Linked DNA regions of Xenopus tropicalis. The protein of the gene in region 1 interacts with the protein of each later gene in a biochemical or structural test. Links are inferred from orthologs where the notes say so. Each region holds a gene or a part of one and is shown in the gene's direction. Other genes may lie near its edges. The genes, in order: snca, ensa, nedd4l, nedd4, cryab, siah2 and plk2.

Evidence for each region.
Region 2: the proteins of snca (region 1) and ensa form a complex in vitro, tested with the Homo sapiens proteins (2 studies listed by BioGRID, with this or other methods). The link is inferred for Xenopus tropicalis from reciprocal best matches to the Homo sapiens genes SNCA and ENSA.
Region 3: of the proteins of snca (region 1) and nedd4l, one has a biochemical effect on the other in vitro, tested with the Homo sapiens proteins (3 studies listed by BioGRID). The link is inferred for Xenopus tropicalis from reciprocal best matches to the Homo sapiens genes SNCA and NEDD4L.
Region 4: of the proteins of snca (region 1) and nedd4, one has a biochemical effect on the other in vitro, tested with the Homo sapiens proteins (3 studies listed by BioGRID). The link is inferred for Xenopus tropicalis from reciprocal best matches to the Homo sapiens genes SNCA and NEDD4.
Region 5: the proteins of snca (region 1) and cryab form a complex in vitro, tested with the Homo sapiens proteins (4 studies listed by BioGRID, with this or other methods). The link is inferred for Xenopus tropicalis from reciprocal best matches to the Homo sapiens genes SNCA and CRYAB.
Region 6: of the proteins of snca (region 1) and siah2, one has a biochemical effect on the other in vitro, tested with the Homo sapiens proteins (4 studies listed by BioGRID). The link is inferred for Xenopus tropicalis from reciprocal best matches to the Homo sapiens genes SNCA and SIAH2.
Region 7: of the proteins of snca (region 1) and plk2, one has a biochemical effect on the other in vitro, tested with the Homo sapiens proteins (2 studies listed by BioGRID). The link is inferred for Xenopus tropicalis from reciprocal best matches to the Homo sapiens genes SNCA and PLK2.

Annotation. Positions count from the first base shown.
Region 1 is NC_030677.2:78,431,608-78,435,670, forward strand, and holds the start of snca (alpha-synuclein), read left to right. Parts: upstream 1-1,263; 5' UTR 1,264-1,547; intron 1,548-1,949; exon of another isoform or gene 1,950-2,055; intron 2,056-2,095; exon of another isoform or gene 2,096-2,180; intron 2,181-2,513; 5' UTR 2,514-2,538; coding exon 2,539-2,659; intron 2,660-4,063. UniProt on the Homo sapiens protein: Neuronal protein that plays several roles in synaptic activity such as regulation of synaptic vesicle trafficking and subsequent neurotransmitter release.
Region 2 is NC_030684.2:127,177,953-127,181,452, forward strand, and holds part of ensa (alpha-endosulfine), read left to right. Parts: intron 1-3,241; coding exon 3,242-3,367; intron 3,368-3,500. UniProt on the Homo sapiens protein: Protein phosphatase inhibitor that specifically inhibits protein phosphatase 2A (PP2A) during mitosis.
Region 3 is NC_030677.2:201,923,176-201,927,245, reverse strand, and holds the start of nedd4l (E3 ubiquitin-protein ligase NEDD4-like), read left to right. Parts: upstream 1-1,270; 5' UTR 1,271-1,411; coding exon 1,412-1,450; intron 1,451-4,070. UniProt on the Homo sapiens protein: E3 ubiquitin-protein ligase that mediates the polyubiquitination of lysine and cysteine residues on target proteins and is thereby implicated in the regulation of various signaling pathways including autophagy, innate immunity or DNA repair.
Region 4 is NC_030679.2:100,490,819-100,494,318, forward strand, and holds part of nedd4 (E3 ubiquitin-protein ligase NEDD4), read left to right. Parts: intron 1-77; coding exon 78-148; intron 149-1,501; coding exon 1,502-1,597; intron 1,598-1,710; coding exon 1,711-1,784; intron 1,785-2,550; coding exon 2,551-2,611; intron 2,612-3,219; coding exon 3,220-3,279; intron 3,280-3,500. UniProt on the Homo sapiens protein: E3 ubiquitin-protein ligase which accepts ubiquitin from an E2 ubiquitin-conjugating enzyme in the form of a thioester and then directly transfers the ubiquitin to targeted substrates. Specifically ubiquitinates 'Lys-63' in target proteins.
Region 5 is NC_030683.2:84,501,356-84,505,451, reverse strand, and holds the start of cryab (alpha-crystallin B chain), read left to right. Parts: upstream 1-1,296; 5' UTR 1,297-1,691; coding exon 1,692-1,886; intron 1,887-4,096. UniProt on the Homo sapiens protein: May contribute to the transparency and refractive index of the lens. Has chaperone-like activity, preventing aggregation of various proteins under a wide range of stress conditions.
Region 6 is NC_030681.2:118,287,556-118,290,339, forward strand, and holds part of siah2 (E3 ubiquitin-protein ligase SIAH2), read left to right. Parts: intron 1-995; coding exon 996-1,553; 3' UTR 1,554-2,784. UniProt on the Homo sapiens protein: E3 ubiquitin-protein ligase that mediates ubiquitination and subsequent proteasomal degradation of target proteins.
Region 7 is NC_030677.2:190,391,809-190,396,029, forward strand, and holds the start of plk2 (serine/threonine-protein kinase PLK2), read left to right. Parts: upstream 1-1,421; 5' UTR 1,422-1,458; coding exon 1,459-1,671; intron 1,672-3,435; coding exon 3,436-3,543; intron 3,544-3,643; coding exon 3,644-3,760; intron 3,761-3,876; coding exon 3,877-4,006; intron 4,007-4,221.

The DNA of each region.
Region 1 (4,063 bases):
ACATACCCCCTTGTTTAACATGAGTTCAATTAGTAGGGCTTGTGCTAGTTGTACTTTTTGCATATTGTTTTAAAAGACACCTCTCCTCCAACAGAAGAATCTTCAGAACAATTCTGTGAATTATTCCTCTGTCGTTGTAGCTTTCTTGAATAACAAAGGGGTTATGTACTGTACCACACACACAATACATTGTGTAAAGTGCAAAAAGGCATTAAGTGTCGCACTCTTGCACATGTAACCTGGGGATTAGAAAATGAGCACTTAAATTAGCTTGGAAGCCTTGCTGTGTTGGAAAAATAGATTGATTCTCTACTGGGTACCATTTGGTTGTAGTTTCCCAAGGGATTTATTTGTTTTCCTGGTTTCTTACTACTATATATATATATATATATATATATATATATATAATATGTAAATAAGGGATGATAATAATAGTACTCCTGTTTTTTAGGAATGAAACTGGTTGCTGATCTTATAGCATTTCATAGCAGTGCATGGATAATGGTCAGAATGAATTATTGTGGATAAGGTTGATAATAAGATGTTATCATTACCAGTAACCAGAATGGGTCTGCAAAATGTAATTATCTAAAGGTTCCACATTCTTTAGTTACAGTTATGAATTGGAGTATTTAGGGCATAATTACATTGTCCTTCCACTGACCAATTCCCTGGGTTGAAAGGAACCATCTACATAATATAGTAAATACTAGAATTCAGTTTTGGTAAGGCTTTGTAATATTTTAGCTGTTTAGTGTTATTCTTCTCTTCTTACTGTCATTAGTAATTGGAGAGAGCGCTTAAATGCTTGCCTGTTACATATCTGCTATCACCTTAGTGACTGCAAGCTTGTTGTAAGAAATATTTATTGTGGCAAGTGCAGATATTTAGCAATAAATAATTCAGCACAGCAGGCATACAGCAGCTGCTAGGGTAAGGTAGCAGATCATTTGCATGTCTGTAGTAGACGATATTACTCTTTTTTGTTGGTGGTGTTTTGTGGGCAGATTTGATTGTTGCTTTCCAGCACCTACATTACAAATGAAGGTGACGGGAACAATAATTTTCCGATGCAAGGCAGACCTCTTAATCTCAAATATTTCTGTTGATAATGGTTCTCATTGTTTGCTCGAGCAGCAGTCGGATTACAAGTGGTCCAGCTTGGGGAGGCTGGCTACGATTATTCAATTTTCACACTGACAAATCAGGCATGTGGAAAGGAAAGACGGGAGGAGGGAGGTGTGGAGGGTGTAGGGGAAGGGAAGAAAAATACGGAGGACATAGGTTGCTCCTACTGAGTAAAAGTATTAATCTCTTATTTTTTACCCCTTCTAAAATTCCTTCTGTTTATGAAGAGCTGATAGGTGTGGTTTCTCTGGTACCTGCTTTGAATGCTTTGATTCCATCAGGTTGTTACATATGCACATACCTCTCAGGGGATTTATTTGGCAGTTATGTACTGAAGAAGAGACTTGATTCCTTTTTTATTGTTTATACACGCACAGATATCATTCCTGTTGGACTAATTTTGGGGAGCAAAGGTTAATGTAAGTATTGCATTTACATCTATATAACATGCCATGTAGGATATTAAGTGTATTTATTCTGCTCACTATGAGCTTTTTTAAATGTTCTATCTGGCATTTTCACCCAGACCTAGTTTAAGCAGCTGACAGTTGCTCACGGGATAGCTTGTCACCTGTGTCCTTAATGCAACGGAGAATGATGCACATGGTTGTTTGTCTTATATAAGGAGAATAGGAAGTATGAAGGTTTCTGTGGGTTAAATGCTCAATTTTATCTTTAATCTTTTTGCCTGTGTGAAGTACGGTATATTGTGTCTGTTTCTCTCCCATTCCCTTTCTCTGACTCTCCCTCAACCACCCCCACACAAACTCTCTCACACATACACAGCACCACTCTTGCATACAAACACACTCAAATATTCATTCTTGCACACACACTCATACATATCTGTATAAAGAGAGACTCTCACAATCACAGACATACATACACTTTGATCTTCATCACCTATCAAACATCTTAAATAATTAGGTACATTTTAACAACAGGGATTATCTTTTTTCCTTAAGAATAAAGTTTTTGTTGGATTAAAAATAATTATTGTAAAGCTTTTTCATCCTGACAACAGCTATTGCATTATTATTTACAATATTTTGGTAAGTTACAGACCTTTGTAAAATACTACCATCATAGACCGACTCGTCCTGTTGAAATACTCTGTTGCATGTTGTAATGTAGTAAAGAAGTATTAGACAAATGGCGTTTCATGTTTCAGAAATCCATTTTTGGCAATATAATACATATATATAGCATATCTTGCTGATTGGACTGATTAAGGATAGACAAGGGTTGCACCGAGAGATTGTTTTTTAAATCCTATACTAATCAGTTACAGATATTTTATTTTGTAGATGCTGTTCAAATGTAATGAGTTACACTATAATCAAATGACCTGTCCTAATGTGTTTGTATGCATTTGTCTTTTGCAGAGCCACTAGAATAAATTTATTAGCTATGGATGTATTCATGAAAGGGCTTTCTAAAGCTAAAGAGGGTGTTGTGGCAGCTGCAGAAAAAACCAAACAGGGAGTGGCAGAAGCAGCAGGAAAGACAAAAGAGGGTGTTCTCTACGTAGGTAGGTAAAAAACTAATCAATATAATGTCATCTGTTCAATTACAATCCTTATCTCCATTTTTCATCACCCTGCAAAAAACACAATAGGATCTATCATTTGTCTTCCGTGTCCTTGGAATACAAATGCAAATACCCTTTAACATTTGTTTATTGTGTAGAAGTTTGTAGCAGTAGTTGTCCATGGCAGAATGGATCTGTAACCCCTGGAGATCACAGAGGATCTCCTTGGTGGTAAATCCCATACATGTCTGTTTTAGAAGCAATAGCCCACTGTACAGTTTTGTAAGCCACAAGACAGACCACTACAGAAACTGTAGGCTTGATAATAGATTGCCCAGTTCTAATCACATTGTAGCCTGTTACACATATTCTTTACATTATGATTTTACAAAGTGTTGTTTCTTTTGAAGGTATATTGCAAATCTAATTTACACAATACAAATAAATAATGACTAAATTTAAATGCTACTCTTTATAATGACAATTAAAAAATTAGGGAGAGGGATAGAAAGAACATAGTTCAATATATTCTACAGATCTGTAAAATAGAAGGGTGAACACATCAATATAGTTCTCCAAGTGCTCAGGCAAAGGAAAGAGGCATAGGAACCAGACCAGAAAGGTCAACTAGGGAAGATTATGGGACACACTGCCCCCTGAAACCTACAAAAGACCTGAGTTGTGGTCCAGTACACTACATTTTAATAATAACACAAAACTAAATGTCCTTAGTTCTCTTGTGTAAACCCTACATGTTCCTATTATGTATATAATTTGGGTACATCTCCCTCACTCAGACAGCATCATTTGTACTGCATATATCCCCAAAGTTCACCAGCACCATATTATTTTCCTAAAACAGATAGTAGCTTTCACCCACCCGCCATTATTAGTGATGTATTTGCAAACAGCAACTTTATGCTGTAAAATTCATGCAACTGAGACTGCAGGCTTACACAGGCAAAACTTACTTTGATAAACATTTTTGGTTGGTTTGAGCACTCTAATGTTTAATCTGAGCTCAGAAGACATGGCTAGGAGAAAAATAGAAGCAGACAGCTAGAGCAGAGCTTCTATGGGAACCAGCAATGCCATCTCCTAATTGTCTGCTAGACTGGAGAGTCTAGTAATCTGAGTTGAGAAGAACTGAGCATGCCCAGTAGCCAACAGTCAAAGCATATTCCTGAGGAAGGGGGCTGAGTGGGTTACAGAAGAAGAAGGAATCCTAAGTGATTAACGGGATGCTGCAGCCTTACTATTAACCTTTTAACAACAAGAGTGACATGTAGTTAAATATTTCAAAGAGGCTGCTTACTTATTACATGTTTGTGGGGGGTTCACGTGTCCTTTAAAATTAAAATATGTACATAGAATAAAGTTTGCACAGTGCACATATTTATAGTC
Region 2 (3,500 bases), on another chromosome or scaffold:
ATGGGATAGTTTGGGATAGTATACTATATAATCTAGTGTAAACTGCTAGAGAAATTACACTGTAAGCTTCACTAAGGCAGCGTGCTGTGTAATACAGATACATTTCTGTTTGAACTTAGTCTCTTATGATTAGGCTCTATTTTGAGTTTAATAGATGGTGTCCAAATGGTTCTGGCATATCGTTACAGGAAGGATAGCAGGGAGTATGGGAGGGAGGCTTCCTAATAATCTCAGCAGACAAGGAAGGAACTGAGACAGAAGGAATGGATTTGAAGGATAAAAATATTTAGTTATGCGGCTAAGGCCTGTGGCACTGAGGTCTCCAGTAACCCAAGCCCTGCTCTAGGGTTAGAAGTGACCACATAGTGGCTGTCATAGGCTTTTATTGGTACAATTCCCATTACATTACATTAACATTTATTTATAAAGCGCCAACATATTCCGCAGCGCTGTACAATAAGTGGGTTACATACATTGGACATACAGAGTAACATATAAAGCAATCAATAACCGATACAAGAGGTGAAGAGAGCCCTGCCCAAAAGAGCTTACAATCTACAAATTTAAATAAGCATGGGATGGAAGCTTAGAGATTATGGAATACTCCTTTTGGGGGGGGGGGGGGGGGGGATACCTGGTGACACAGGTGGCTCCCAACTGCCATGTAGTTTACTTCTTTTACTTCATACTGAGGGCAATAGCGAGGGTGTTTTTGATGCCTTGCGTCGGGGAGCAGTTGCAATGAAGCACAATATACAGGTGGGCAGGCACCCGTGGGCTGCCCCTTAGGCATGGGCTCATTGGTGCAACCCTGCCTACCTGCTCTATGATAAATACAGAATTCACTAAAAAAAGACCCCAACCCGGCCAATAGATACTAAATGGCACAGCTGAGTTGTGTGTGTGGGGGGGTAACTTCCTGTCCTATGATTAGCACAGGATATATGAGCCTTATCGGAAGAACCCAGTACGTAGCAAGCCTGGATACTTGTACAGATATATCTTTTTGCTTTCCTACAAACTTCTACCCCAGAAGGGTACAGAAACTATAAATATGCAGTGTATACTCCATTTTCCCCGTATCTGTTGCTCGGTTCCAGCATGATACATCGGTAGCGCTCATAATCTTGACAAGAGTTTTCCATCTTAGCTCTCTAATGAGCGTGGAGGGATAAATTAATAGCTCAGTCACTGTGACAGCAGCACCTGTGCTCCCCCGGGAACATCCGAAATTCCTGCATTGACGGGCATGCTTGGGAGCCACGACTACTAACCACGTCCTCTTAAATGTGGTTTTTCCATTGCCAAGGGGGGGGGGAAAAATTCGCTCAGCAAATCTCTCTTGGTTTTCTGGCAGCTGTTTACCTTGCTTAACAACCTGAATTTCCAATTGCTTTGAGTAGTGGGGGCGATTGTCAGCTTGGTGTTGTTTTTCACATCCAAAGGGATGAAAAAATAAAGACTCATATACCGTAGGAGATATATATGTATGTAAGTCCTCCTTGTTGCATTCCTTTACCCCGGGGCTTTAGAATAACAGCTGCAGGTGTGTAGTTTTGCAAGCAGATCTAGCAATTTGTGTGGGGCTGCATTTTCAGCCTGTGGTGGCCCATCATGCCATGGATCTGTGCATGGAAACTGACAAGAGCGGCTCTCATTCGTGCCCTGAAATGCTTACTCTTTCTTTTTATATGTATGTGGGGGTTTGGGTCACTGAATCATCCCATCATGGTTCTGCTATAATTTCTTATATACGTGACTAATAAACCTTTTTTTAGTTTTCTTATGTGTGTATTGAGGCCCAGACTCTGTGCCCTTGTAATATTTGTATCTTATCAGTATATAAACAAACTACATGTTGCAGCAAGCGCTGACGGCAGCTACCTGTGGCGGAGAGGAATGCTCCCAATGCAGGAAAAATTAGTTTATTAGGTATTGTAAGAGCTTTGCCAGAGGCAGTTTTTTTTTTCAATCTAGACCTATTTAAAGGGACATATCCCTACCCAACAACTAAATTGCTAAACATGTTCTTCTGATCGCTTTCATGATATTAGCAGTTTTATACTGCCACACCTAGCGGTGTCTTCTAACACTGTTCAGTTGTAGTCACTGAGCGATAGAACTGAACAGAGAGTTACACTGAGACGACAGCTACAGCTGGATACAGAATTGGGTTTTTAAATATCGCATACAAACCATATACTACATAACAGGTAATTGTCTTCCTCTCTGGATAGTAAGTATAGTTGGCTCTTCATGGCAACAGGGGAACAGCATCAAAGCTGTTCCAACCAGGGCTCGATGCGGCCATTCAGGAGTATTTTCAAGCCCATAGATATTTCAGCACAACTGATAATCAGCTCATTGATTCTGCGTATCCAGTATATGAGAAGGAAATGTGATTCGCCACTCTTTGCTTTCTTGCTAAATGAATACATGAAATAATTAGGGCAAGTTCATGCTTTTTGGGAAACGCACAAAGATACAGGGAGAATGTACAACACTTATCATATAGCGCCCACAACGGCGTCAGAACAAGGACCTCAGCGCTGAAAGGCAGGAATGCCAGCCACTGAGCCACCATGCAGCCACATTAAGTCCTCAGTCTGTCAGGAAGCAATAATATTTTTATCAATAATACAGTTTACTAAAGTGATTTAAGTCACTTCAAGTGCTAATGTGCCACGAAACTCTGGATATGATCGCATCATACTTTAACTGCTCTTTTATGGACAATATTGTAAATATTTGGTGTACTATTGTGAAGCTGGCCATACACGTACACATTTAGTCTTCGGATATCAGTCGTATATTTAAATGCAACTAAGATTCAGACTGAAATTGTAGGATAAAGCCCTTAAAGTACAAATCAGAGGATGTTCTGAACATGAAATAGTTGGCAGGCACCATCATACCAAAGTGACTTCCATTGTAGGTCCCCCAAGGATATTGTCAGATACACAATACATGCGCAGATTTTATCGTTATGTGACCAAGATTTTCTATCCTGTCCTATTGGCTAAACAACTGTTTGCCAAGGTAGGAAAATTATCGGGACTATAATTTGGAGCCCTCGCTGCCCAAAAAATCAATTGTACGATTTTATCAGTAAGTGTATGGCCAGCTTGCGCTTTTCAGTATAGCTTGGTAGAGAGATGTTTGGGAATGATCATATACTATATGGTGAGAGTAAAAAGAACATTCCCGACCCGCACCCATTGCACTTACGTTTGTGTTTCAGGACTCGCAAGAAAAGGAAGCGGTGACTCCAGAAAAAGCAGAGGAGCAAAAATTGAAAGCCAAATATCCCAATTTAGGACAGAAACCTGGAGGTTCAGACTTCCTGATGAAAAGGCTTCAAAAAGGAGTAAGTAAAGGGATTTTTGTTGGCTCTGGGTGTGTTTGAACTGTTCCTCAAGCATGCTTAGGCCTTTAATGGGTTAATACTAAATGTCCCTGCAGAATGAGTCTGAACCCAGTAGAACAGCCATGGCTGGCCT
Region 3 (4,070 bases), about 120 Mb from region 1:
ATTCTGTCACAGTGGCACAGATCCTATCTGATCCCCCCATTGTAAGCAGCAGTCCTGCCCTGCTTTATGGCTGAGATTCTAGCTATCTGTATAACAGGGCATTCTGTCACAGTGGCACAGATCCTATCTGATCCCCCCATTGTAAGCAGCAGTCCTGCCCTGCTTTATGGCTGAGATTCTAGCTATCTGTATAACAGAGCATTCTGTCACAGTGGCACAGATCCTATCCTACCATGATTACATTTCTTAGGTTGGTGGCCCATGGGGCGATTAAGTCACCTGTGATAGATCTCTGCTACTGCAGGTGACTATCAACTCTGAAATGCTTTTCCACTGGCAACAACAGAAGTCGCTGGTGGAAAAGACTTGTGAGTCTTTTCCGGCGATTTCGGGAAATCGCGCCGCCGTGTGTGCCATCCCACCGGTGACTTACATGTTCGCCGGCGGGATGGCGGGTCATGGCAACTCGGGGAGATTAGTCGCCCGCGAACAGGGAGTTTTGCCGCGGGCGACTAATCTCCCCCGTGTGCCAGAGCCCTTAAGTGTGAAGACACACGGAGCTACTAGTAGCAGCTACTTGTCATGGCTACTAAAATAGCCAATGCTGATCATTTACTGATAATCGTCTCTTTGTGTGTCTTAGCAGAGACAATTCTCAGTATTGTCTATGGCAGGAGAGTTTCTGGAGTTTAGTAGCTGCTACTAGTAGCTCAGTGTGACTTCACCCTAAAGGTATATATAATTCCAAATAAAAGCAGTGTTTGTTTATTGCTACAGACACACTAGGAGCTAGAGGCTATAGGTGCAGGTCACTGCTTCCTGACACAGACGCCGCCTCTCTCTCAGTCTCCAGCAGACGGCGCTGTTGGATCAGGGACAGGGAAAGGCTGCACACTGCGCTTCCTCCCTCACACACACACTGGCACATCCAACCTGCCGCCCTCCTGCTCCTGACTACAACTACCAGCATCCCTTCAGCTGTTTCCTACTACATTTCCCAAGCTTCCTGTTTGTCCCAGCAGCAGAGGAAAAGCCTCAGAGCGGCCGGACGGTCCCATGACACTGACTGTGAGGAGCGATTCAACCGAACTTCCCCGGCGCCCTGCCCCTCCCCACTTTCATTGAGCGTCCCTGAGCCCTGGCCACGCCTCTCTGGGCTGGGCGGCTCCTGATTGGCGCTGGGTGGGCGGGGCCCGTGTGCGTTTGTGTGAGAACTGGGACTGTGCCTGACAGGGATCGGGGGGACATCGTGTGAGTGGCGGGTCTGGCTCTTCCTCTCTACCCGCCGGCACCGGCACGGACCTTATACCCGGAATAGGCACCTAGTGAGCGGCAGCTGGCCAGCGCCCTCCTATTGTTTCCCATCTACTGTGCGCAAAGGATTAGGGGTAATTGCACCCCAACTCTCCCCATGGCGGCTGAACCCATTTATGGACTCTCAGAAGACGATGTAAGTACATGTTTGTGTCTCTTTAATTGTGTGGGTGGCACAGGGGGGCAAGCAGAGGCCGTCCAACCACAGCTGCCAGCTGAAGGGGCAACACTTCGCCCAGACTGGCATAGGGGCAGTAGCTTCTGTCATTGGGCAGAACTCATACAGGAATTGCCTGGCATCTCCCAATGGTGGGTCAGTGAGAATAGGTAGTGCCATTGGTACCAGTGCTGTTAGGTGCAGCAGGCTGGCATACTGCTGGGCAAGGCTGGCATACTGCTGGGCAAGGCTGGCATACTGCTGGGAAAGGCTGGCATACTGCTGGGCAAGGCTGGCATACTGCTGGGCAAGGCTGGCATACTGCTGGGCAAGGCTGGCATACAGCTGGGCAAGGCTGGCATACAGCTGGGCAAGGCTGGCATACTGCTGGGCAAGGCTGGCATCCCTAAGTACATGTGAGAAGGAGAGGCTGGCATCCCATAGCCCTGTAAATCAGAATGGTCTAGCACCCACCCTATCTATACTGTCACTGGCACCCTGTGTATGTTGGCATCCCATCAGTAGCCTGTAAATCAAAGGGGGCTGGCACCCACCCTATCTATACTGCCGGTGGCACCCACCCTGTATACTGCTTGGGCATGAAGGCTGGCACCCTGTATACTGCTTGGGCATGAAGGCTGGGCACCCTGTATACTGCTTGGGCATGAAGGCTGGGCACCCTGTATACTGCTTGGGCATGTAGGCTGGGCACCCTGTATACTGCTTGGGCATGAAGGCTGGGCACCCTGTATACTGCTTGGGCATGAAGGCTGGGCACCCTGTATACTGCTTGGGCATGAAGGCTGGGCACCCTGTATACTGCTTGGGCATGAAGGCTGGCACCCTGTATACTGCTTGGGCATGAAGGCTGGCACCCTGTATACTGCTTGGGCATGAAGGCTGGCACCCTGTATACTGCTTGGGCATGAAGGCTGGGCACCCTGTATACTGCTTGGGCATGAAGGCTGGGCACCCTGTATACTGCTTGGGCATGAAGGCTGGCACCCTGTATACTGCTTGGGCATGAAGGCTGGCACCCTGTATACTGCTTGGGCATGAAGGCTGGCACCCTGTATACTGCTTGGGCATGAAGGCTGGAACCCTGTATACTGCTTGGGCATGAAGGCTGGCACCCTGTATACTGCTTGGGCATGAAGGCTGGGCACCCTGTATACTGCTTGGGCAAGAAGGCTGGCACACTGTATACTGCTTGGGCAGGAAGGCTGGCACACTGTATACTGCTTGGGCATGAAGGCTGGAACCCTGTATACTGCTTGGGCATGAAGGCTGGCACCCTGTATACTGCTTGGGCATGAAGGCTGGCACCCTGTATACTGCTTGGGCATGAAGGCTGGCACCCTGTATACTGCTTGGGCATGAAGGCTGGCACCCTGTATACTGCTTGGGCAGGAAGGCTGGCTTCCCATCAGTAACCTGTTGGCATCCCATAAGTACCCTGTTGGCATCCCATAAGTACCCTGTTGGCATCCCATAAGTACCCTGTTGGCATCCCATAAGTACTGCTGGTTGAGGCAGTTTGGGACCATCTGTAGTACTGGCATCTGTGTGACTGGCTGCGGCTGGGCAACATCCCGGGAGTTCAACTGCTTATATGTACATTGGCATGCCAGGAATACTGCTGTTTGGCATCCCGTCAGTCTGGCACAGCATTGGCACTGCAGCATGGGGAAGAGCCCCCTCTTTGTATTGCTTGGTCATATGGGCAGTATTGCAAGCTGGCATCATACTAGTGGCTATATATATATATATATATATATATATTGTAAAGTGCCAATGCCTGATTGAATAGTTTAAATGAACTAAACCAGCTGGGGGTGGTGGTGTATCTGGTGGTGTATCTGGGTGTGTTGTGGGGGTGGGGGGTGAGTCTGAGCTGCTATTGCTAGAATGCAGAGGCGCCAACTACCTATAGTGCCAGGGGCACTACCAGTTCTCTGGGCAATATTACTCTATGGTCCCTGTTTGAATGATTTCAGGTGCCCCCGGTACCTGCTGTGGGTGTTGGCTCAGTGTGTGACGCCTATGGAATGCATAGTGCACATGGTATGTGCGCCCGGGAGTTGGAGGTGAGGCTCCTGCAGGGCATTTCTTTTTCAGCCAAGCGCTGACATTTGTGCAGGAATTCATTCGAAAGCTTGAATTCTGGGCTAAGGGAGTGGTGCCTCCCCTCTCTCTATATGCGCCCACCTCACTGTGTGGGTACTTGACACTGGCAGCAGCTCTGCCCAGGTTATATATATATTACTGTAAATAACATTGTCAGATTAAGCTGTATGTAGGTTATGTATGTGGCGTAGCCCAGCAGCAGATTGCAGCACAGGATTTACACTAAAATCATTATTATTAGGGCAGAGCTCTTTAGATTGATAGAGTTGGGGGCCCTTATGCATCCCCTTAGCTCATAAAAAAGCCCCACATATATAAGACATCCTCTATCAGTATCAGGTATATCTAAAGGTGGCCATACACGGCACTTGTTTGGCGAGGTTGCCAAGCGGGCGGATCTTCTCCACATATCCCTACCTACAGGTTGCCAATATCGGCTATATAGGCACAGCAGTTTCAGGGACACGTCAAC
Region 4 (3,500 bases), on another chromosome or scaffold:
GTATAGTTGTAAATGTTTATACAGAAAGGACTGTGTGGTTATACTAATAAATATATCAATTTTATTTTCTTTTACAGCATTTTTTATTCGCCCATTTTACAAAATGATGCTCCAAAAACCAATTATATTGTATGACATGGAGTCTGTGGTATGTTTTATTTGCCCTATTTGTTAATTATACTGATGTATGTTTCTACTGTTTCTTTAGTTTTCACACACACACACACACATATATATATATATATATATATATATATTTATATAGAGAAAAACATTGAGAGTTGAATAGCTGGAAAGACAGATATTTTGAGTAAAATGACAGATTCTTTTTTTTATAAAATTTTGCTTTTTCAAGCTGCACACAATATGTAGTAAATAAATATGAAATTCGAAAATATGAAATTTGAGGAAGTTGTATATGAAAATAGGAACAAATCAGTACTTCAAGTGCAGAGAGGACTGAGCAAGTATATATTTTAGGCAACACCAAAAGCTGGATTTTTCAAGCCAATCCTTAAAGGCATTCAGGAACCTTAATTTTCAGGTTCAACAATAACAGTTAGGGATGCACATAATCTAGGATTTTTCAGAACTCAGATTTAGCTGAATCCCGATAACCTGGCTTGTACCACTCATCGTCGGTATGATCTTTGTTAAGCCTATGCTAGCAATAATAGTAGAGAAGATGTAAGTTGGGTAGTTTACTGAAAGAGTTTTTAGTTTATATATTATAACCAAGGGACTGCTGCTGGCATAAAGGATATGTTATGATTGTCACACACTTAAAGGAGAAGGAAAGTCATTTTGGCATTTTACAGCCAATTTGCCACATTAGTGCCACCTAGAACAATATATTTATTCTGCAGGAAGCATTGCCATACCTGAGTAAAGAGCCCTAGAAGCTTTCTTTGTTTGCTTAAGACAGCAGCTGCCATTTTAAACAGCTTCCTGTTTGCAGTCTAGCTCACATCACCCATTCCTAAGGGAGGGGGGACAGGAGAGGGGAGAAAGGAGAGAACTGCGCAGACTCTGCCCAAGGCAATTAAGGATTTTTCTGAGAGAGGAAGTAAGATACCTTACTTTGCTTCTCCTTTAAGGGGACATTTACTACCACCCAGTTTTTTTGGTTCAGGTTTTTTGACACCAAGATACAATTTTGTTGTGGAGAAAAAAGAACACATTTTTTTCCGCTATCTATTATGTGACAAATCACGACAAACCTGAAAGCAAAAATAAGCCATCTAAAACCTGTCAAGATCAGATGTCCCTTTTACAACTGGAAGATCTTTGATTCGTGGTTTTAGAGGTTTTTATGGGTCTTTTTGACACTGGCTTTTGTATGACAGTTCGAAAAAGTAGTGCTTGTGAAAATGTGTTTTAGTCATAAAATCTCTAAAATCTGAATGTTAATAAATGCCCCCTTATTGTAAGTATGTTGGATCTGCAACTGGCATGATTCTTGCCTTTTGTCTAAACTGCACTTTTATTATCTATTTATCAGGACAGTGAATATTACAATTCCCTCCAGTGGATACTAGAAAATGATCCTTCAGGTTTAGATCTGTGCTTCACTGTTGATGAGGAACTTTTTGGACAGGTGGGGGAAAAGCCATATTTCTTATAAATATATCTCTACAATGAGTTATAAATGTGTTAACATGTAGTAGGCTTGTAGAGATTATTGATGTTGAATTTGTAACTTTTTGATAGACACATCAACATGAGTTGAAGGCTGGTGGTTCACAAATCTTAGTCACAAACAAGAACAAAAAAGAGTACATACAGTAAGTGTGCATTGCATAGTATGATGTATAGGAAATACTTCTTGTCATTTCCCTGTTGGCTTTAATAGGAGAAGCACTCAATGCATGTGTTCCAATTTTGGTTTGTTGCTTTTGAAGAATTTCTTAGATAACTATGTAATATCTTCCACTCAAGTTTTCTTTGCCTTTAACGCTTTACCTGCCAGCAGGGCAGATTGTACAGTGGCCAAATGAAGGTGGTTAAGTTTTTCCAGATGACATAATTTGCTTTTCTGCTCAAATTTAAATAAGCAAATCAGGATTAGGTTCAGTGCTTAGTGTTTTTTTTTTGTGGCAGACTCTATATTTGACCCCATTATAAACCCAGTTCATCCCTACTTTTATCCCTATTATTATATGTGAGTTAAATTATTTATAACCCTTAAGATGAGATATTCTACATAGGGTACCTTATGTATCTGCATATTTTTGTTTATTGCGTTAGCTCCGAGCAGCCCATAGCTGCGGTAAGTAAAATTTATGTTGGGACTAAACTTTTATTTTATAAATACAGGGCAGTATTGAGTGCACTATGCCAAGCAATGCAGTTTTAGAACCATTTATTGATAACAGTATTAACAGTAATAAACTAGCAAGCTTTAAACCCAAACTGCTGCTACGTGGGTGCTCAACTCAAATACATTTACATTCTGCCTATTTATATTTGCCGAACAGTAAGGTTCATATTCAGCATTAGAATAAGTTATTTTTGTTCTGGAAGTAAATTCCTGCTGTTTCTTTTATGCAGTCTTGTTATTCAGTGGAGGTTTATGAACAGAGTTCAAAAACAGATGGCTGCATTCAAAGAGGTAAATAATGTTCAAATTATGTTTAATGTGTGATCTTTGTACTGTATCTAGGTGTGATGGTTTGCCTTCACCTAGTCACTTATTACAATGTATTCAAACATATGTGGCAGTGACCAGAACCTGTTAGCGGGCTGCAGGATACTGATATGGATAAAAATTGCAATAAATAAGAATATCAGTATCACCAATAAAATTACAGTGTTGTTTGTGTAATAACCTCTGGCATTCATACTGTCCAGTTGCTGGAGCTGCACATCCCTCTGTTTCTCTCCATTTGGGAGACCTGGAAGGCAAATAAGATAATAAAAAAAATAACAGCCTAGTGTGCAGGGGGGTGGTACAAAGAGCTATCACTGGGGCACTTAAGTTATGCTCAATGGGTTCCTATGTTTAACAGGGTCACTGTCAGTTCAACGCAAAAGTATAATTTTCTCTGAACGGCCTAGGAGTCTTAACCTTAAATATGTTTATTGTGGAATAATTTCAGTACATTTACAGTGATAGGCACAACAAGGTGCAGCAGAGGGAAAATTCATTTTATTAGGTTTGACAAATTAGGAATATAGGTAATTTATTTTCTTTTTTAATATGATTTCATTCATTTTAAGGGTTTCTTTGAACTGATCCCGCAAGACCTGATAAAAATATTTGATGAAAATGAGCTGGAGGTATGTTGCCAGTTCTATCACATATCGTGTTTAAGCTAGTATAACAATTTTAGAGTCCTATTTACAGAGATATACCTAGAAGTTAAAGACCCCACAAAAACTTAAGGGAACAGGTGCTGTGCATTTGAACAGTATTTAGCCACTTGACCAACTTTCTTATTTTATGAACAACAAATAATACAGTTACAAGTTATTCTCTCTGAGATATCATATTTCAAATC
Region 5 (4,096 bases), on another chromosome or scaffold:
TATTTTTTGGGACTGCACTGAAATCCAATGATTTTGGTCAGAGGTACTGACTTGCAGCGCCACAGTCCCAAATATCTGTTCTCCAACTTTATGCCTACTTGGACACATGGAAGGACTATCACTTAACAAATACGATGAACTATGCCTCCTCCAAATTCTACATTTCGCCAAAAAAGCAATCTTAATGACCTGGAAGGCAACTTTAAATTAACGACACCCTTCCCAGTCAAAAGCTAACATATCTGGCTAGGAGATGCCCAGACAAATTTAACAAGATATGGGACAATTGGCTGAAAGACATACATCAACCCTGAATGCCACCACAAACTGGATATAATAAAAGGGTACATCAGCATGGACCCAAAACAGGGGCATGGACATAACAAATGGACACAATTAACGGACACTGGACCAGCAGTTTTAATTAATAGCTTCTTTATTAAGAACATAATAAAAGGCCATGGGACAAATGTAAGACAAAGTCAGTAATGCACTTGATAAGTAAGGAAGCCCAAAAACACCCCCCCCCCTTTCCCCCCTATCTACACTATTCTTCTTCTCTTATTTCCTCATTCTTTCCTTCTCTTTGTTTGCTCTATGCAAAATTTTTGAAAAATGCAATAAAGAAAATGTTAAAAAAAAAACAAAAAAACTTGTCATTGTCAGTCTGTGACATTTCCCTGCTGATCAGTGTGTGGCCAGTTATACCCTAAAATGGTGACACCTGCTGTGCCAGAACTACATGAACCCACATTTCTGTTTAACAATCTTACCCGCAGATCCATTAGTTAGATCAATGCAATTTAGCCATCCACAAGTGCGACCAAATAGAGCAAATGCCTGGTTAATCTATGATGTTCTGGAAGTTTGTCGATATGTGATCAACTTTAGCCACTGAGTGATTTATCATAGTAAAAGGTAATGGCAGTAAAGTATGGCAGTATAGAGGAAAATGAAGGTTTCTTGGACTGGACCTTTTAGCTTTCTACATTATTTGCTGATCAGAAGTTGGTGTCACAAACTCTGTGATGAAAAGTTTTGATTTACAACATAAACATATTTAACATGTTAATTGTTTAACCTGATGACTAACCTAGAAAGATATGAATAACATTATAATAAAATAATAATTGCACACTGCGTGTATATTTAGCTTCTTTGTCAGCAATGATCACACCCATGTAGGCATTTAACTCCCCCTCTGCCAGTAATGCTACATATTACAAGAATGAAGTTGTTCTAGTCTATACGCACCCTGTAGGAAGCTGGAAAAGGGTTGGATGTTTCTAGAGTATTACGGATTAAATCAATTACACTATCAGCTGTCAGATCTGGGCATGAAATCATCCTTGTCAAGTTACAGGAGAGTGGCTGAATAGATCTGTTGAGCCAAAAAGCACAGAAGTCGGAAAGTAAACAGAACGATAATCAGCATCTCTTCTTGCTGATCCAGTGGGCTGGAGAGTGAATAGAGAATTTGTCATGGCACATATCCAACAGCACTCTGCTGAATGGGGGCAGACGAGCATGGTTGAATAATGAAATCACCTGACATCAATTTTCCAGAAGGTTCAATGTTTGGGTGCAAGGGTGGAGCTGACTGGCAGTCCATTATATATAAGAGCTCTAGGTCCATTGGCTAACTCAGACCTTGAGCTTTTTCTTTCATAGTAGCCACAAGCAGCAAGAAAATGGATGTAGCCATCCAGCATCCTTGGTTCCGTCGTCACTTTTACTCATTCTTTGGACCAAATAGGATCTTTGATCAGAATTTTGGGGAACACCTTCACGAGGCTGAACTTTTCCCAACTTCCAGTGTATCACCCTTCTTCTTCAGATACCCCTTCTCCAGGCTTCCAAACTGGATAGACAGCGGACTGTCTGAGGTAGTTTTCTTTTTAAACCTGCAAAATGCTGAGCCTAGAGGGAGGCCTGGGAGGTTTAAGAGTACAATTAACTTTTTTGCATTGCCCAGTCAGATCTTATAATGCTTATAAGGAAAAGGGCAAGTAAATTCAATGGAAATATTCATCCAAAGTTTGTGTTTTTCTACATTCACAGTACAAATAGATACATTTACAAAGGATGCTGATTAATCAATGTAAATGCAACAAATCAATGTAATTAACTGAGTTTCTTTAAAGAGTAAAGGTGTGTAGAGTGGCTAGTAATATGTTAAAGTAATCATTTTACCACCAATTATAGTAACACCATTTGACAAATATTTCCAATTGAATATTAAGATAATATTGGCTCAAACAAATGTCTTAAACAGAGCACTAGGTAATTAAAACAAACATATTGGAAAAGAAAAAGACTATAGAACAGTTATATTCATTTATTCTGTGGTCAGATTATATTCCTGTGCCATTTGAAACATCTTATCTAATTATACACTGTACTCTTACAGAAGAAAAGTGGTGGATAGGAAAACATTTTTTAAAGCACTAAACTCTGTAAATAGTGTTGATATGGAGTTTCTAACAGTGTCTAGAATTGCTGTGAGTGTTGCTGTATGCAGCAGCTCTGTGTAGTTAAGGTTCTGCTGCACTCAAATAAAACTTCCCCCAGTGGTAGATTAAGAGCAGCTTTGTTCCTGGGCTGAGACATGTTTGCTGATACCACAAGTCACCAAATATCAGCCCTCCTAATACTTTCTGGGAAGGTTTTGAGTTCCTTGAGTTCCATCAAGCACCTGAGGCCTAAAGAGCCCATAAAATGACCACCACTAAGCCCCTTTTACCAGGGACCCTGTGTCCTGCTATTTGTAGCACCCTTCCTGGCCTTTGGTGTCAAATATGGAAGTTACTTTAAATCTTAGTTAACATTTCCTGATAGGGTAAAAAGTGGGGAACACCCAGCTCACAAAAAGTGGTGGAAAAAAATCAGACATTTTCTAATAAAAGCCAAAAGTGAAATAATACTTTTTAAAACAAAAATATGCTTTTTATAAACTTTCATAAATATAGCTCTAAAACAGCAATATTAAAAGCTAAACTCCTGGCCGTTATAGCTTGACTTTTGATTAATGATGTGAATGTGATTGCAGTCACTGTAGTGCCTTCAGTTATAACCTACGGCTGTTAGCAACACACACCCAGTCGCCTGCAAAGTTTACATCTAATTCAGTTTGGAAATGTGATGCTCCCAAATGTTGATACTGTAACCACATTAAGTAAAAGTACAAATAGTTTGCATGCACCAATTTTCTTTGGTTTGTTCAAACACCAAACTAAAGCTGAATCATATTTTGCTTATAAAAAAGTAAGCTTCCCTAAGCACCCACAGTTCTACTTAGAACCACAGATACAGCTTTTAGATAATGTTTTTGAAATTTTATTTGAAAAAATATGCTTTAAAAATGAACAATAAACAGTGTGTTTGGATCTTGTTACCCACTTGAAAAGTTATAGAGTAAAAGGTGGGGGATAAAGGTTCTTTACATAAAAGGTGAGGTTGCGGTACGGCTTAAGGCTAATCTAATGGCTAACAAAGTATCCCTTATTTTTAAATGATTAAACCACTATTATTTATTTCAGTAAAATACTGTAGCTGTTAAAAATGAGGATGCGGGGTTAGCTCTATCTGTTTCCATTTTCTCCAGATTCAGTTTTTCATGTCATTTGCAAGTCTCTGCTATTTTATCCACTACAGACAGCTCTGCAAATTTCCAGAGTACATCAGTATTTACCATTACTTCCTTATATATCACATTTTTGTAGCACACGTATTTTATTTTTTTCCCACAATATGGTCATCTCTGATATTTCCCCCAGTATACACACCCGTGCCATTTCTTTCCTGTACAGCCATCCCTGCCTTTTCCCCCTATACACCCATCTGTTTTAATTTCACATAATATAACCAACTTTCTCTCATTACAGCTAGATCTACCAGCTTTATCATTAACCCTACATATAATCACTTCTGCAATTTCTTCTTATTTCTATTTACCTCCAATCACCTCTGCGATTTACCCAATATAGCCATCTCAGATATGTTTCCCCAGTAAAACCATGTCCACTATTTGCCCCAGTCCAGCCACTGTTAACACTTACCACCCAATACAAACCTGTACCACTTTCTCCCTGTATAG
Region 6 (2,784 bases), on another chromosome or scaffold:
TGCTGCTATTAAACAACCAGTTAATAAGCTTACTGGCTAATATATGGAGCCAAAACAGCAATTGATATCTGACTGGAGGCAAGTCCAATATCAATTGGGCTACCTGTAAGGGCAGGGGCACACATAGTGGATTGTCTACTTTCCTCTGCCTGCGCTTTGTACACAGACACACGAAAGCAGATCTGCTTTCATGTGCTCACTCCTGTAGCTCCATTGACAAGCCTGGAGTGGCCTGTTTGTAGCAACACAGAGCATGTATTGCAATAAAAACATAAAAGTATGCATTTTCGCAACAATATCTGCTCTGTGCAGCTCCCCACAGGCCGACACCAGGCCAGTCTGTGTAGTTACAGGAGTGAGCGCATGAAACTGCTTTTTCCTGTACAAAATCCAGGACTGCTCTGTATGCCCCTGCCCTAAAATCCTGGCAGGTAAGGATTTATTTGGGCTATGGATGCAGTCTTTTTCTTCCAGCATAATTCATCATATTGAACCTTAATTTTAAGTGGAAGGTAAAGGCAAAAATGTAGCCCCATTCTGTCTAAAGACAAGCAACTTTAAAAATTTAATTGAGTTACCAGCAGTTACTATCTTTCCTACATTTACAGTAAACTGTATCATATAATAAATTTGTATTGGACAGTAACGTCTAACATATTGCAAAGTGAAGTAATCATTTTTCAGTCATCATATATTTTATGTTTTGCCTTTGTTTTTTTTCCTCTTTCTGAAACTTAACATGCCATCTGGTTTCAGCAGCCAGAGAGCTAATTGATTGGAGATGTTAGATTTTTAGCATTTTTTATTACTTTACTGTTAGGGCAAGCATTCAACAAAACAACTTTTTAGGAACAGTTTAAATTCTGTGAGAGCTGCAGGATGTAAAATGAAGTTAAAATATAAAAGGTCAGTTAAAAAATGCCTTAGAATGTTATTATCTGTAACAAACGTGAAACTATAAAATTAATGAATATTATCTTTGTTTTCACTTGTAGTATGCTTCTACTGGATGCTCTCTATCTCTCCATCACACTGAGAAGCCAGAACATGAGGACATCTGTGAATACCGGCCATACTCCTGCCCTTGTCCCGGAGCGTCCTGTAAATGGCAGGGATCATTGGAAAATGTTATGCAGCACCTTACCCACTCCCACAAGAGCATCACCACCCTTCAGGGAGAAGATATAGTTTTCCTTGCAACAGACATTAACCTGCCTGGTGCTGTCGATTGGGTGATGATGCAGTACTGTTTTAACCACCATTTTATGTTGGTGCTGGAGAAACAGGAGAAGTATGAGGGACACCAGCAGTTCTTTGCCATTGTCCTCCTTATAGGCACACGAAAGCAAGCTGAGAATTATGCCTACAGACTTGAACTCAATGGAAACCGGAGGCGCTTGACATGGGAAGCTACGCCAAGGTCCATCCATGACGGGGTAGCTGCCGCAATCATGAACAGTGATTGCTTAGTTTTTGATACTGCAATTGCACACTTGTTTGCAGACAATGGAAACTTGGGCATCAATGTAACCATATCCACATGTTGTCCATGATACTTTGTTTTGTGATCGCTGTGAAAAAGTTATTTAATGGGCTATATTTGAATAGAGTACAGTTTGCATTTTTTTTCCTACAAAATGGACTTGAAACATCACTTCGTAAAGACCCTAAATATTCTCTTCTATATATTTTTAACTTTGGGGAGTGCCAGATCGCTGTTCAATAACTTCCCTACACTCCTCTTGCACTTTAAGAGTTAGAGGCTCTATGTTCGTGTGAAACATTGTAAGATGACATCATACAAATATTTGTTATATTTTCTTATAAAAAGCGTTAATGACAGCTTTGATTGTTTAGCATAGGCAGAAATCATAAGCTTCAAATATTGCACATTGTCTTAAACAATTGAAATTTGACAAGCATTTTTTTGCTTTTTACATTGACTGTGGATGGTAAAATAATAATTGTACACACAATAAGCTATACCTATGTACTAATGTCAGGACATTCATTCTACAAAGAAAGGGGGGGAGTTCTGCACTTCTCTCATGGCCAAATTTATTTAAGGAAAATGGGAAAATTCTCAACTCCAGAATAACAAATATATCAATTGATATATTGTACAAATGTTGTTTTCTGATATAGATGTACTTTAGTGCTAAATCAGTCTGTTTGCAGGGAGTAAATCCCAGGGGCGATGCTTTAACATCTCCACTTCTGCATTGCAAAGCTGAAGAAATGGCAGGTTAGTGTGTCTGGCAAATGTTTCCATCCACTCTGTTGTTTTAATTTAGTGGTGTGTGTGCGCTACAAACATTTCAGTCTCTGTATTCTTCATTGACACAATGAAACAGCCCCAATAGCTGCTGTACAGGGATATAGATAATGGTGCTGCTCTTTCTGTCTATGGAGAATCCCACTTCAGAGGCCTTCAGCAATGCAGCTTTTATGCAGCATAAATACTCTGTCCTTGTTGTAATGTACACTGTACAAGATATGGCTTTTTTTAAATGCATATTTAAGGGAGCTTTTTTTTTTTTTATCAATTTTACTTACTTTCTCAGTTTAGTTCTGCTGCAAGTGCTTTGAAACATATCTTTGTGTGGAAGATAAACCCTACTTATAAACTGTTCCTTTAAAGGGATACCCTCTTTAGCAGTGCTGTAAGCCAAAAGTGAACCCCCTTGTGTTTTCCATATGAATATTTTTTTTTCAGCACTGTATTTACTGATCTTTGCCTAAGGCAAATAAGCTGTGCCATTTTAACTTGTAGTTTCATGCAAG
Region 7 (4,221 bases), about 110 Mb from region 1:
GCACCTTTAGCCTGAGGGACACTCGCCCTCCTGCCTACAGTCCCACACTCACATACCTGCACCTTTAGCCTGAGGGACACTCACCCTCCTGCCTACAGTCCCACACTCACATACCTGCACCTTTAGCCTGAGGGACACTCACCCTCCTGCCTACAGTCCCACTCACATACCTGCACCTTTAGCCTGAGGGACACTCACCCTCCTGCCTACAGTCCCACTCACATACCTGCACCTTTAGCCTGAGGGACACTCACCCTCCTGCCTACAGTCCCACTCACATACCTGCACCTTTAGCCTGAGGGACACTCACCCTCCTGCCTACACTCCCACTCACATACCTGCACCTTTAGCCTGAGGGACACTCACCCTCCTGCCTACAGTCCCACTCACATACCTGCACCTTAAGCCTGAGGGACACTCACCCTCCTGCCTACACTCCCACTCACATACCTGCACCTTTAACCTGAGGGACACTCACCCTCCTGCCTACAGTCCCACACTCACATACCTGCACCTTTAGCCTGAGGGACACTCACCCTCCTGCCTACACTCCCACTCACATACCTGCACCTTTAGCCTGAGGGACACTCACCCTCCTGCCTACAGTCCCACTCACATACCTGCACCTTTAGCCTGAGGGACACTCACCCTCCTTCTCCCTGCCACCCAGGCTCCCTGGGCACATGGTGGTGGGGGCAGAAGGCTTGTGGTTGGGGTACAAATGTTGGTGGCTCCCTCTCATGACAAGTGATTGCCCAGGGCACTGAGACACAGGGAAATGCAAAACATCCTCTCTGCTCCCCAAACAGGAAATCTCTGGGGGGGGGGGGCACAGCTGTACTTGGGCAGCCTCCCTTTCCCTCATTTCATATTATGGCCTTTGGGGTGCAGAGCTGTCAGTCCCAGGGCCCCCCATTAGTAGTATGAGTAGGACTGGCTAGCTATGGCCCTGCAGTCACAGAGCATCTGATTGACAGCTCTTCTGCACAAGAGGTTCTGCAGCAGCTGAGGTGAATAAGGCGCCCATGTATGCAGTTTATTGACATGTCAGCCTTTAAATGTCAGAGTTGAAAACTAACAACTACAACTCTCAGCACTAAGTCAATGTGTTTGAAACCCTACAGGTTTTTTCATTCACTAAATGGTATATTCCTGCCCTCATGTAAAGCTGCCTTGAATCCATAATGTTGCTGTTAAACTGCACTGCAGAATATGTTGGCGCTACAGAAATTCCAATGAACTAAAAGGGACGGTAAATGAGCGACACGGGTATCCAGGCGCTGAGCAGCAGTATCGACGCTCCGGGGGATATGCCCAGACAATGACCGGGAGAGGGCGAGTCTCTTTAGCAGCGGCGTCACACAGGGGGCGTGCCACAAGTGATAAAAAGGGGATGCCTGCCTGAGAGCCGAGCAGAGCGGAGTCCCGCAGCGGCAGGAGTAGGTTGTTTGAGGGGTTATGGAATTACTGAGGAATATCGCTTATCAACCAAGCAGCGGGGGCAAGATGTGCGAACAGGCGCTGGGCAGGGTGTGTGACAGCAACAGGAGGTGGAAGGTACCGGCCGATGGGGAGCCCATTCATCACACCTGCTCTGCCACTGAGGTCTCCAGGATTATAACCGACCCTGGCACAGGGAGGCGCTACTGCAGGGGCAAAGTGCTTGGCAAGGTAATTGATCAGGCACCCTGTGTAGCATGGGTACACTTGGCACTAATGCGGCTGGAGGAGGCTTTTGCCTTATTGATACCCGGAGAATGATTGGCCCAGAGAGGAATTCCTGTGCATTACTGCTCCCTGTCAGAAATGAAGCCTTTGTGTGCTTCTATGTGCCATGTTGTGTCTGAGAGAGAAGTGCCAGTGTTGGATCTCCATTGGGCATCACTTGGGCTCTTGTTGGGGATACCCCGGTGCCAATCCTGCACCCACAGAATCTGCCATCCCAAAATCTCACCTCTTCTGCATCCCTATTGTCTGGCATATGGCAGCACCCCAACCTCTTGTGCAACCCCATTGTCTGGTATATGAAACTGGCACACCTTCTGCACCCCTATTGTCTGGCAAATGGCAGCACCCAACCTCTCCTGCACCCCTATTGTTTGGAATAAGAAAGTGTCCCTATTGTCTGGCATATAAAACAACACCCCAATCTTTCCTGGACCCCCACTGTCTGGTCAGTCAGTACCATCCTCAAATTCATCCCTATTGTCTGGCATATGGCAGCACCCCAGTCCCTCTTGAACCCCCATTGTCTGGTATAAGTCAGTACCGTCCTCAAATTCATCCCTATTGTCTGATATATGGCAGCACCCCAGTCTCTCTTGGACCCCCATTGTCTGGTATAAGTCAGTACCGTCCTCAAATTCATCCCTATTGTCTGGCATAAGGCAGCACCCCAGTCTCTCTTGGACCCCCATTGTCTGGTATGAGTCAGTATCCCACCCCTTCTGCAGCCCTATTGTCTGATATATGGCAGCACCCCACCTCTTGAGCACCCCAAGTGTCTGAAAACAAGTATTATGCTTATTGTGCATCTGATATAAACCATTTTCTCCAATGTTGTGTATTGTCAGTGTCTTCTTTATTTCTGGTTTGGGTTCAGGGCAGTATTCCCACCTATACTCTATGCCAGACATTAGCCCCTTCTGTATCTCCAGGGATTCAGGGCATTGTACCCACATCTTCTAAATTCCCATTGTGTGAATATGAGCAGTATCCCTGTCACTTGTGCATCCCCTTTGTCTGATAGTGAGCTAAAACAGCAATTCCTCTGTGACCCCTATGGAAAGTAACCCATTTCTTCTGAATGCCAACGTCTGTCATAAAGCAAAATATGCATTGTGTTATATTGTCTGGCACAAGGCAGTGAAACCCCATCTGTTTGCCCTCAGTTTTCTGATTCCCCATATTGTGATTAAAGAAGTGCTCACATCCATGGCAATCTCTGTGCTTGAGATGTCAATATGTCACTGTAGGCATTTATTGCATCCCCAATGTCAGTTTCGCACTGGAGGAACCACAAATTAACTATTTTATATTTAAAGTTGTATTCTGGTTTGGCAGAGCAACAGGTCAATATTTATTGTTTTGGGGTTTAAAGAAAGTCCCACAGTTCAAATGTTTATGGAATAATGACATGAAATGTCTGGTGTCTAATAAATCTGCTCATGTTTGTATGTATATATATGTTAATATAATGGTTTAGAATTAAGCCCAAGCATTTCAAGGTGCTCCCTGCTCTTTATTGGCATTAAATACCACCCTTTGCGCTACCGGAGTATTTATGATGAAGGTGTGTGGCATCATTAGTATGGGAATCTTTAAGGAAATAATCCTCTGTTAAGCAGCCTCATTAATTGGCAGCCAGTAATAATGCTTGTGAGAGCGACACCTTCCTTTTTAATTAAGATTTTGGGTTTCTGGCTTCTTTTCCAGGGTGGATTTGCGAAATGCTATGAAATGACAGATTTGACAACAAACAAAATATATGCTGCTAAAATCATCCCGCACAGCAGAGTGTCCAAGCCTCACCAAAGGGAAAAGGTAGATATTCTAGTGGAAAAAAGCACCAAGAGCAGGCTTTTATGGTTCCAGCTGCACGAGTGGAGCAAATATATTAAATCATATTTCTTTGAATTTGTAGATTGATAAAGAGATCGAATTGCACAGAACCCTGAATCACCGGCACGTCGTACAGTTCTATCACTATTTTGAAGACAAAGAGAACATCTACATATTACTGGAGTACTGCAGTAGACGGGTACGTCGCTGCCTTTTAACCCTTTGCACAGCTTTGCTATTAGATGTTGTGAGCCTTGGGGGGGGTCTTCACTGTGACAGAACCCGTGCTTATCATGTATTCTCTTGCCCCTCCAGTCCATGGCCCACATTCTAAAGACAAGAAAAGTGTTGACAGACCCTGAAGTGAGATACTACCTCAAGCAAATTGTCTCTGGTCTGAAATATCTCCATGCGCAAGAGATCCTCCACCGGGATTTAAAATTAGGTAAATAATTGAAAATGTTTTTTGCATGCTTCCTTTAATATAGCTTCAGTTCTCCAATGGCTGTACTAAATCTCAATCTTATCCTTCCTCTATACTGATTGCAGCAATATACACTATTTGCTGTGGACTGATATACATCAATTTGATTACCTTATAAAAGAACAGACTATGAAATCAGCTGTCATATGAGGGGTTAATATAGTTAAACAGTGGGA